3 linked regions of the Oryctolagus cuniculus genome follow. The main gene of each other region encodes a partner of the protein of the gene in region 3 in a complex. Links are inferred from orthologs where the notes say so. Each region holds a gene or a part of one and is shown on either strand. Other genes may lie near its edges. The genes, in order: SLMAP, STRN3 and SIKE1.

What was found.
Region 1: the proteins of SIKE1 (region 3) and SLMAP are in contact, whole or in part, in a crystal structure (PDB 6AKM), measured with the Homo sapiens proteins. The link is inferred for Oryctolagus cuniculus from reciprocal best matches to the Homo sapiens genes SIKE1 and SLMAP. Residues at the interface, in NP_079349.2 of Homo sapiens: Ile5, Ile8, Leu9, Ala12, Lys13, Leu16, Leu19, Arg20, His22, Asp23, Ala26, Glu27, Leu29, Val30, Ser33, Ala34, Leu36, His37, Val40, Met43, Arg44; in NP_001291349.1 of Homo sapiens: Leu168, Tyr171, Leu172, Glu174, Ala175, Arg178, Glu179, Met181, Leu182, Lys185, Thr188, Leu189, Leu192, Leu193, Ile195, Thr196, Ala199, Ser200, Thr202, Ser203.
Region 2: the proteins of SIKE1 (region 3) and STRN3 are in contact, whole or in part, in a crystal structure (PDB 6AKL), measured with the Homo sapiens proteins. The link is inferred for Oryctolagus cuniculus from reciprocal best matches to the Homo sapiens genes SIKE1 and STRN3. Residues at the interface, in NP_079349.2 of Homo sapiens: Glu96, His97, Ala100, Leu103, Ile104, Ser106, Lys107; in NP_001077362.1 of Homo sapiens: Arg176, Leu179, Tyr182, Leu183, Val186, Tyr188.

What each region holds. Positions count from the first base shown.
Region 1 is NC_091441.1:92,185,016-92,189,416, reverse strand, and holds the start of SLMAP (sarcolemmal membrane-associated protein), read left to right. Parts: upstream 1-1,499; coding exon 1,500-1,697; intron 1,698-4,401. UniProt on the Homo sapiens protein: Associates with the striatin-interacting phosphatase and kinase (STRIPAK) core complex, forming the extended (SIKE1:SLMAP)STRIPAK complex.
Region 2 is NC_091443.1:44,422,885-44,426,534, forward strand, and holds part of STRN3 (striatin-3), read left to right. Parts: intron 1-780; coding exon 781-914; intron 915-2,182; coding exon 2,183-2,358; intron 2,359-2,540; coding exon 2,541-2,588; intron 2,589-2,882; coding exon 2,883-3,004; intron 3,005-3,650. UniProt on the Homo sapiens protein: Calmodulin-binding scaffolding protein which is the center of the striatin-interacting phosphatase and kinase (STRIPAK) complexes.
Region 3 is NC_091438.1:55,566,788-55,569,891, forward strand, and holds part of SIKE1 (suppressor of IKBKE 1), read left to right. Parts: intron 1-1,124; coding exon 1,125-1,238; intron 1,239-3,104.

The sequences.
Region 1 (4,401 bases), on a different chromosome or scaffold from region 3:
CTCGACAAATGTGGCTTCCGCGGCGTCGTCCACGTGACATCCCCGGGCTACGGCGCGGGAGAGGGGGTAGGAGGGCCCTTGAAGGGTGCGCGTTCCCGTGGCGGTGCACCGGGTAGGTTTCAGTCAGAGTCACTATGGCGGCCGGCGCTGGCAAGGTAAGCTGAGACGGCGACGGCGGCGGCGGCGGCGAGGGAGGCAGGAGCCGTCGTAGCGTCCCGGCCCCAAATCGCCGCAGTCCGTCTGCGGAGAGGTCGGCCGAGGTCGTGGCCAGCGGCGGAGGCTAGCTGGGGGTTGGCTGAGCGGGGCGAGGGCTGAGGCGGGCGGGCACCAGCGCCTGACGGCCGTTTGTTTTGATGTTTCCCCACCAGGTCGGAAAGTTTCCTGCCTCGTCTGGCACAGCCTGAGCTCGCCCCGCTGGCCGCGAGTGGTGGAGGCTGCGGCGGACCCAGCCCGGGGCCTCCAGGCCTCTCCCTCAGCCTCCGGGCCAGTCTCCCACCCCACCCCCCCACCCCCACCTCCCCGTCCGCCGAGAGCTCTGCGGCTGCTGTCCCTGAGATGCGACCCTCGGGGGGACGACCCTGAGGGGAGGCGGCCGGTGTGCTGAGCAGCCGCGGCCGGGGAGCCCGGGCGTCCAGGGACCAACTTCCCGCCAGCCGGGAGCCCCGCGCCGCGCCCGGGTAGCGCCTCGCTCGGTCCGTACCGGCCTGCGGAGCGGGTCCCGCCCCTGGTCGCGGAGACGCCCGCCAGGTGCCGGGGAGTCCGGACGCGGCCGCTGCCTGCGCCCCCGCCGGCCCCCACGCCTGGCGCGGGCGACCCCTGCCGCCGCCGCCGCCGCCCCAGCTCGTGCGGGGCCGGGGACCCGGTGGGCCATCCGTGCAGCAGCAGCAGCAGCAGCAGGGGCGATGAAGACCGTCCCGCGGGCCGCCTAGACCCCTCGCCGGCCTCCGCTCCCCCGGGGCCCTTGCGGACGGGCGGCGGCTGCCCCTGGCCTCGGCTCCGGAGGACCTTGCCGGCCGCCCCGAACGGACCCTTCCTTCATGCTGCAGTGCTGCAACGTTTCCGCCAGCGAGGGGGCACCGCGGCCGCGATCGCACACAGAACCCCGGAATCGCCGTGTGACTCATCTGCTTGGAGACCTCCAGCCCCAAAACTGCCTTCCAGGAGTTTTCTTGGCCGAAGCTGCCCGATGTTTGAGCCTCTCCTTCCCAGGGAAGATGGACTGAAAGCCGCCAGCGGGGGACTGTTTGCGATCGGGGCGCTGCTGGGTTTCCAAGGAGGCCATGGGGCTTGCGCTGGGCTGCCTTCCCACCCCAGTGAGGAGCTGCTGATGTGCCCTGGTTATGCTTAGACGATGCGCAGTTTGTTGTAATTGAAAACAAAAAATTACTTGAGGGTGGGGTGGGGAATAAGGGGGGAGGTCTACGCTTGTGAAGGGCAGTCCGGATCTGGAGGAACTCCTCGTTGTCCCTGGTAGGAGAGACACCGCCAGTCTGTCCTCGATGCCGTCAGCCTTGGCCATCTTCACCTGCCGCCCGAACTCGCACCCGTTTCAGGAGCGTCATGTCTACCTGGACGAGCCCATCAAAATCGGCCGCTCGGTGGCCCGCTGCCGGCCGGCGCAGAATAATGCCACCTTTGACTGCAAAGTGCTGTCCAGGAACCATGCTCTCGTCTGGTTCGACCACAAGACCGGCAAGGTAATGTCTGACACCCTGTGCTTTGCCTTTCCTTTTGCCCTCCCCTGGAGGCATCATGGATGCATGATGGATGCATGATCCCAGAGTTTGCACCCCAGAGATCGCTTTCAGCAAAGCGGTGGAGTCAACTTTGTGTGTGCCTGGTTCTAGGGGAAACTGAATAGAGGTGGTTGAATGGAAAACACAAGGTATTGTAATCAAATGCCTCGGAGGCCAATGGCATCTTGATAGTGTGGTGGTTCCCAGGGCTTCTCAAAACTGAATAGTGAGACTTGGGACTAGCTGTGCCATCTTTTTAGGAAGGTGGGTTTGCAGTTTGGCGCTTGATTAAGCAAGCTGCAGTTCCCGTAGCAAGGCAGGGGATCCGTGGCCAGCTTTACTGAGGATTTCAGATCAGGGCTTTTCTAGATAGGAGGATTGCTTGTGTGAACCTAATGCTGTTGACAGTTTTGATAGATATTTACCCTTGAAGTGGTACTTTGCAGTAATCAAAGCCAATTAAAGCACGGACAACTGACTTCACAGTTTCAGAGTTTTGTTTCCAGGTGACAAGCAATAGTTAACATATACCTGTTGCTTTCAAAAATCACTTTTTGATGTTCCCTTCAGCACTTTTTAAATACTTAATGCATACTTACAGAGGTGACATTCAAAAATTAGTATGAGGGAATTAATTTGTTTTCTGAAATTAAGTTCAATTCTGTTAATTATATTCTTCCCCAAATGAGGTATTCATTTTAAGTGTAACAATTTTAGCATTTTTATGTGGATATGTAAATTACTATATAGATGTGTGCTTATATATTAAGAAATCAGGAGGCAAATACTAAGTCTTTCAGGTTTTAAAAACTGTGTGTGTATGGAGAGTATACTGAAAGAGCTCATCTTTCTGCTTTACCCACAGGTTTTAGTTGAACTACTGAATTAATTTAAACTTTAAGTTATGTAAGACTAATAGGAATAGCTCAGGTTTCGCCTCCTGACTTTTTGCCCTTTTCTGAGATAAATGATGAAGTCTTCCTTAAAAGAAGAATTAAAATTTTTTCAAGATTAGTGTTTTGAAGTGAAAAAAGCCTGAACCTCAAAAGCAAGAGAGGAAGCAAAGCTGCTTCTGCAGCGACTCAATTAAACAGTTATTATATAAATTATTTTCTAAGGAAAGGAGGAAAAGATTGCCCAAGTGCTGTGTGCTTGCATAATACCTATAACCTACTCTGGTGTGTAGGATGTAGACTGAAAAGTATGTTAATTTTTCTGTATAATGCCAGATGCTTATTTACGTATGGAACATACCCTTTTACCTCCCTGGAAGCTAAAGTTTGGATGCCTCAAAGACTTCACAATTTACACACACTCTTTTAAAATGAATATTCATAAAGCTCATCACTCTGGTCTTTGAATTCAGACATTGGTTAGTTACTAGTACCTTAACCAGCTTTTACATCTTTTGCTCCCTGCCCCCCAGCAACAGTTAGGTCCAACCTAATTAGGTAACAGATTTGCTCTCAGTACATAGATACATACTCTATAAATTCACTTTCATTCATTCAGCAATCAAAGGAGACTTTTTTTTTAACTTACTTGAAAAACAGTGATTACATGCAAGGTGTTCTCCATGCCTGTACTAACACCCTCACAAGAAATTATTTTGCAGTGACTAAGAATAGATCAGTAGTGAATGTTTAGCTGGGAATTGGATGACATGTTAAAACTTTGAATGGAACTTGTTATTTAGAAAAACTTATTTTTGAAGGGTAGATTTGGCTTATTCCTACCATTTTCACCCCCCCCCCCCCCCGACGTTATTGGGTAAAATGAAACTCTGGACATGAGGCTATGCCTTTTTTTATGTGTTTGTTCATTTTTAAGGACTTTTTTTTAAAAAAGATTTATTTATTTGAAAGACAGGGTTACAGAGAGAGAGTAGATCGAGAGGTCGTCTGTCTGCTGGTTCACTCCCCAAATGGCAGCAGTGATCAGGGCTGGGCCAGGCTGAAGGCAGGGGGTTCATCAGGTCTCTCACTAGGGTGGTAGGGGTCCAGATATTTGGACTCTCTTCTGGTGCTTTCCCAGGAGCATTATCAGGGAACTGGATTGGAAGGGGAGCAATGAGAACTTGAGCTGGTGGTCATATGGGATGCTATCATTGCATGGGGCAGATTAACCTGCTGTGCCACAATGCCATTCCCAGGATATCACTTTTCAATGCTAATTTTATGGATCATCTTATTGTACTTAAACCTATAGGTTTGCCACAAGTGGGTTTTAATATTCTTTCCCACTCATTTTCCCAGGGATGTAGCAGTTGAGTATTGCCCTGCTTAGGTGATGGCCCTTGTAGGAGGCCACATTCTTAAAATTAGATGACAGGTGGCCAGCACTGTGGTGTAGTAGGTTAAGCATCTGCCTGGCATCCCATATGGACACCATTTGGAGTCCTGGCTGCTCTACTTCTGATCGAGCTCCCTGCTGGTGGCCTGGGAAAGCAGTGGAAGATTCAAAATTTTAACATGTCATCCAGTTCCCAGCTAAACATTCACTACTGAGCTATTCTTAGTCATTGCAAAATAATTTCTTGTGAGGGTGTTAGTACAGGCCTCTGCACCTGTGTGGGAGACTCAGAAGAAGCTCCTGGCTCCTGGTTTCAGATTGGCCCAGTTCTGGCCATTGTAGCCATTTGGGGTGTGAATCAGCTGATGCAAGA
Region 2 (3,650 bases), on a different chromosome or scaffold from region 3:
TAATTAATTAGTTATTCAGTATACATGAGTTACTTCATTTTAGAAGTGTCAAGGTAAATAAAAGAGGACATTAAAATAAAAATGATAGAGCTTTAAAGCTAAAAGATATTTTGAAAATTACATGGGTTTAACTGACTTTCAGGAAATTGATGTTGGTGATAGAACTGCTTTTCCCCTAGACTTGTTGCTGTTACTTGAAGAATCTTAGCAGTTAAGGCTTCATTCCAGTATACTAACACACCATATATCAGACTACTGGGAAACCAATTATGTATGAATGCTCATGTTTTCATCACAGACTAGAATACTTAGTGTATCTTGAGAAAGCAGACTGATTTCACCAACAGCCTGTTACTTAAAAAAAAAAAAAACTATATGAGCTACTTTGAGGCCAATGGTAGGGATTTGTTTGCCATGAATAGCTGAATTCTGATATTTAACACTTATTAAATAAAAATTTGTCCTATTATTTAACATGTGAACTATAGTTATAATTATACTGAGACAATAAGAAATTTTTAAGTAAAGCTTTTGTGCCTCGCTTCCCACCATTGAGTAATATATGTAGTGCACATTTGATTAGTGGGAGATAACTACATTGTAGTTCTGAAACATTTCTTTATTACTACCCAGTAATAGAATTTTTGGAGTAGAAGTGGGAAATTAGAAATTAATTATATTACTGAATATTGTAACTGTTAAGTGCTTAAATTTCCCCCACAATATTGTCTTGTACTGTATGATTTTTCAGCATTTAAGAAGCGGTTTTGTTCTTTATAGCTGAACCAATAACGTTTCCATCTGGAGGAGGCAAGTCATTTATTATGGGTTCTGATGATGTTTTGTTAAGTGTACTGGGCCTTGGAGACCTTGCAGACTTGACGGTAACAAATGATGCAGACTATAGTTATGATGTAAGTGCAGTTTTATTTTTAATTTTTTAATGATTTAATAGAAGGCTCCTTATTTTTTGGAATCACTAATAAAACAGAATTAATGTCAAGGTGCATGGAAAAGACAAGTTTAAGTGTGTCATTGTGTTGATTTGAAGTGACATGTAGTTTTTCTTTTATAAGTATTTTCTTTGTGGTGTTTAAATTTTTCTTAGGTATTTTGGTGGATTGGCTAGGAGTTTGGAATGATTGTCTTAAAATATTGATTATAAATACCTCCTGAGTAGTCAACTCTCAATTATTTATTCAAATTATGTTATATGGTGTTGACAAGAAAGAAAAATAGATAATCTGAATAACTTATTTACCTTCAGGATACCTAAAAGCATGTATCTTAGATTTTCTTAAGGATACTGTTAAAGTTAGCTTGCATCATTTTCTGAACACTTAACTCTCATTAGCGGGATGGGAGTAGATGGGAAAGACAGTGTTAGAGGTGAAACTAGTCTTGGATTAATTTTTTTTCTAGACATTGAGCAATCAATTGAGAGTTAACTATATTTTAGATTTTATGTTAATGAATTGGAGTTTTTCAGCAATGTTTTTCCTTTTATAGCAATTCATTTTACTACATTTAATTATGTTAACATGCCTTTTAGAGTCATCAGCCTTGCTCGGCTGGATTATTCTTGATAATATTTTTAAAGTGTGTAAGCAATGAAGTTGTAAATTTTCACTACTTTAAAACTGATTTCACAAACTATCCTTACAAATGGAAAAATAAAAACATTAACCTGCAACAATATCAAGAATTATGAAAATATGCATAAAGGGTCTTTAGTTCAGACATTTAGAAAGTACCTTAATTTGCTGCCTTATTAAAGTTCACATGCTAATAATTTCCTAATTGGCAACTATACTTTTAATTATTGTACCTTTGGATATTTGGTAATAATTTATATATTTTACTTTGTATTTGTGTAAAATATTGCAGCAATGGTAGTTATTTTGTTCTCATCTGATGTATGATAGGAGCTTTGTGTTTAGCTTGACAATTATGTCGATAGGTTATGGAACTCTTCATTTGATCTTGGTATTTGAAAGGCTATTGAAATTCTTCTGAGTTCTTATTAAACTATAAAGATTTGTTACAAAGTTTTTGAGGTCATTACTTTTCCACTGGACATTTTTGCCAAACAGTTTTAAATATATGTTTTAAACACACAAAAGTTCCACTTGCCTAACAATTTATAACTTTTACCACTAAATATTCCACTCTTTCTTTTTAGTTGCCTGCCAATAAAGATGCCTTTCGAAAAACATGGAACCCCAAGTATACACTGCGTAGCCATTTTGATGGAGTACGGGCATTAGCTTTTCATCCTGTAGAACCTGTGCTGGTCACTGCCTCTGAGGACCATACCTTGAAACTTTGGAACTTGCAAAAAACAGTTCCAGCCAAAAAGCAAGTATTTTAATGTTTGTCTGTTTTTTCTTCTACTTATTTTGCTAATATGTTAATTATTCTTTTTTCTGTCTCATGTCTTTTATGCACACATTTGATCTACCTGATGATTCTTTTGATAACCAGTGATTTATAATTACTTAATTGTCTTCTCTTCCCCACCCTTTTCCCCCATTTTCTAGGAGTGCCTCTTTAGATGTAGAGCCTATCTACACATTTAGGGCCCACATGTAAGTTTTATTGAACTATAGTACTTAATTAACAGCTATAATTATTGTTAGCTATTAGTTATCAATCCTTACACCTTGTAATTTTTTTCAACATTTGTTTTATGTTATAAAATACATTAGTTGAATATCTTGTTTGATAATTGATTTGATGAGAATATGAATATAATAGTATTGTTCAAATGTACATGTTTACCTAAAACAATTTTTAGATGCCATATAAATTTAAAGGTTAGGAGAATGGGCATTTGAGTTTCTTCCTAGAATCTGTAAGTAATTTTCTCCCTTTTTTAACAGTGGCCCTGTTCTATCATTAGCTATTAGTTCTAATGGAGAACAGTGTTTTAGTGGAGGTATTGATGCAACCATCCAGTGGTGGAATATGCCTAGCCCCAATGTGGATCCATATGACACATATGGTAAGTAAAAAGATCACAGTTTTTTTTTTTTTTTTCCCTTTCAGTACTAATTACAAAAAGGAGAAGAAAACAAAATCTAAGTAACAAACTTTAAAGTTGAATTAGGTTGCATTAACAATGTTAAGTGGAAGATGATGGAAACAAATAGTTACAGTAAGGGTGTAACTCATACAGCATTTTATTTGGTAGAAAATTCTTAAGGAGCAGGAATTTAGCCTAGCAGTTAAGACACAAGTTCAGATACCTGTATACTATATTGAAGTATCTGCAATCTGCACTCTGCCCTGGCCCCAGACTCCACCTTCCTCCTAATGAAGACCCTGGGAGTTAGAATTAATACCCTCCTTGTGGGAGGCCTCCATAGAATCTTCTAAATTCAGCCCCATGCTAGCTAATTGAGGGCATTTGGGAAGTAACCAGCAGATGGAAGTTCTTTCTGTCTTTCTCAGAGGAGGAAAAAAAATTCTTTGGTTTCAAAGTGGATAAGAAAAAATTTCTAAAACGTTGACTAACAAATAGCAGCCTTAGAAGTCTCTCCCACAGAAATACCTGCCTATGTCTCCAAATATTTACAAGGGTATTGGCCATAATTATAAAGGGTTAAAATGTTTATGATCTACTTGTTCTTTTAGCTTAACATACACTT
Region 3 (3,104 bases):
AATTGCTGCAGTGGAAGATACAGTTCATCTCAGATCCTTTTGGATGCATTTTATTGATTTATTTTCATTTTATTTGAAAGGCAGAGACAGAAGGTCTCACATCCACTAATTTAATGCCCACAATAGCAGACCTGGGCCAAGCTGAAGCCAGAAACCTGGAACTCAGTCTGGATCTCCCATGTGCATGTGGGTGAAAGAGACCCAACTACCTGAGCTGTTCCTCTGCTGCCCCCAGGATGCACATTAGCAGGAAGCTGGACCAGAGGCCGAAGAGCTAGGACTTGAAACCAGGCACTCCGAAATGGGATGCAGGCATCCCATACAGCATCTTAACTGCTGTACTTGGATTCCCACCAAAGGGATATTTTAAATACTCGATTCCTTTCATATGAAAAATAAAAATAAATGTTATTTACTGTGGTTCAGAAGGAAAAATATGAACCTTCAGGGAGACAAAGTTTAGCTCATTCAGAAATACTTTCTAAGCAATATGACCGGATAAAGACACCTTGGTCTGTGGTAAGCTTCTTGCCAGTAAAAGTCTTCAAATTTAATTGAAAAATGGCCACCTGATGATATCGTCCAACATTTAGTTGTTCTTAGACTTTTGGATTCATGGGGCAGGCGTTTAGCCTGGCAGTTAAGATATCCTTGTCCCATGGAGTATTTGGGGTCTGTGTGCCTGCCTCCAGTTCCTGATTCCAGCTTCCTGCTAATGCAGACCGGGGGAGGCAGTGGTGATGGCTCAAGTAATTGGGATTTTGCCACCCACTTTGTATACCTGGATGGCATTCCTAGCTCCCAGCTTCAACCCAATCCAGTCCAAGCTGTTGCAGATACTGGGGAATGAACCAGCAAATCAGCGAGAAGTGTACTCCCTCTCTCTCTTTACCTCTAAAGTAAACAAATTTCCTTTTAAAAATTCTTTAAAATAAAAAAATTTTTTGTGAATGCCATAAGCTCACTCTATTATGACTTTACTTTCCATGACTCAGATTATAGTGTAACTACATTGTAACTTGTATAATATAGAAAAAATGAACTTTTAAAAATCATAATAATGTGTTCTCATGCACTTCATATCTGTAGAATGACTTTTTTCCCCCCTCTTAATTTCTCTACAGGAAATTGAGAGTCAGATTGACAGAATCTGTGAAATGGGAGAAGTGATGAGGAAAGCAGTTCAGGTAGATGATGACCAGTTCTGTAAGATTCAGGAAAAGCTAGCCCAATTAGAGGTAAGATTGCTGCCATTTTTAGTTCATGATATTTCACAGTTTTCATAGTCTGGAATATATGCCATCACTACCTTATCACTGTAATATATTGATATTTTCTGTTTTCTTACGACTTAAAACTCTTCATATCGTTTTAAGAAAGACAGTGTTGGCTGGCGCTATGGCTCAATAGGCTAATCCTCTGCCTGCGGCGCCGGCACACCGGGTTCTAGTCCCGGTCAGGGCACCGGATTCTGTCCCGGTTGTCCCTCTTCCAGGCCAGCTCTCTGCTGTGGCCTGGGAGTGTAGAGGAGGATGGCCCAACTTCTTGGGCCCTGCACCTGCATGGAGACCAGGAGAAGCACCTGGCTCCTGGCTTCGGATCAGCACCGTGTGCTGGCCGCAGCAGCCATTGGAGGGTGAACCAACGGCAAAGGAAGACCTTTCTCTCTCTCTCTCTCTCTCACTGTCCACTCTGCCTGTCCAAAAAAAAAAAAAAAAAAAAAGGCAGTGTTGTAATAAACAGCATTCTGTGAAACTACCAACCAAGAATTGCCTAGAGGTTGAGATACTATGAGAGTAGAGAAAGTGAAAGGAATAGGTTATATGAGCCAGTATTCCCCATCTGCCACAGGAGGAAGTCATATGAGTAATACCTAAAGTTGATGACTAGGAAATACAAGTGTAGGCAGATTATTTAGAATTAAGGAAGAAAAGACATAAAGTGGTACTGCTTTTAAGGAACAAAGCCAAGGAACTGCTATTTATTTTATCAGCCTCACATTCTTGATTTACAAAAAAGGGGGCAGAGTTAGAGAGGGGGAGAGAGAGAGAGAGAGAAGTCTCCCATCTGCTGGTTCACTCCCCAAATGGCCACAGTGGCTGGGGCTGGGCCAAGCCAAAGTCAAGAGCTTCTTGTGGGTCTCCAAGGACTTGGGCCATGTTCCACTTGTTTTCCCAGGTCATTAGCAAGGAACTGGATTGGAAGTGGAACAGCCAGAACTTAAACCAGCACCTATATGAGATGCCAGCACTGCAGGCGGAGGCTTAACCCGCTGCAACACCATGCCGGCCCCAAAGTCTTGATTTTTTAAAAGCTATTTTTGTGTAATATTTTTATTAAAATAGAAATATACAAAAAAGGCCTGGATTATTAGTGTACCCCATAAAAAAAATTGTTTTTTTGACAGGCAGAGTGGACAGTGAGAGAGAGAGACAGAGAGAAAGGTCTTGCTTTGCCATTGGTTCACCCTCCAATGGCCGCCGCAGCAGGCGCACCACACTGATCCGATGGCAGCAGCCAGGCGCTTCTCCTGGTCTCCCATGGGGTGCAGGGCCCAAGGACTTGGGCCATCCTCCACTGCACTCCCTGGCCACGGCAGAGAGCTGGCCTGGAAGAGGGGCAACCGGGACAGAATCCGGCGCCTCGACCGGGACTAGAACCTGGTGTGCCGTCGCCGCAAGGTGGAGGATTAGCCTAGTGAGCCGCGGCGCCGGCCTCCCATAAAAATATTAAGGAAAAACATTTTGGTAGGTGGTTTGTGTCCTACTTATTATAAGTTGTTATAATGGGCTTTTGAGAAAAACCAGAGAGCTGGACTGGCACAGTGGTGCAGTGGGTTAAGTCACTGCCTATGACACTGGCTATCTCTTTTGGGTACTGGTTCAAGTCTCGGCTGCTCCACTTCTCCTGCAGCTCCCTTCTAATGCACCTGATAAAGCTGCGAAAGGTGGCCCACGTACTTGTGCACCTGCTCCCATGAGGGAGACCTGGAAAAGGCTCCTGGCTTCAGCCCAACCCAGTTCTGGCTGCTGTGGCCATTTGGGGAATGAACCAAATGATTGATAAATAAATAAATATTTAAATTAAAAAAGAAAAACAGAAGG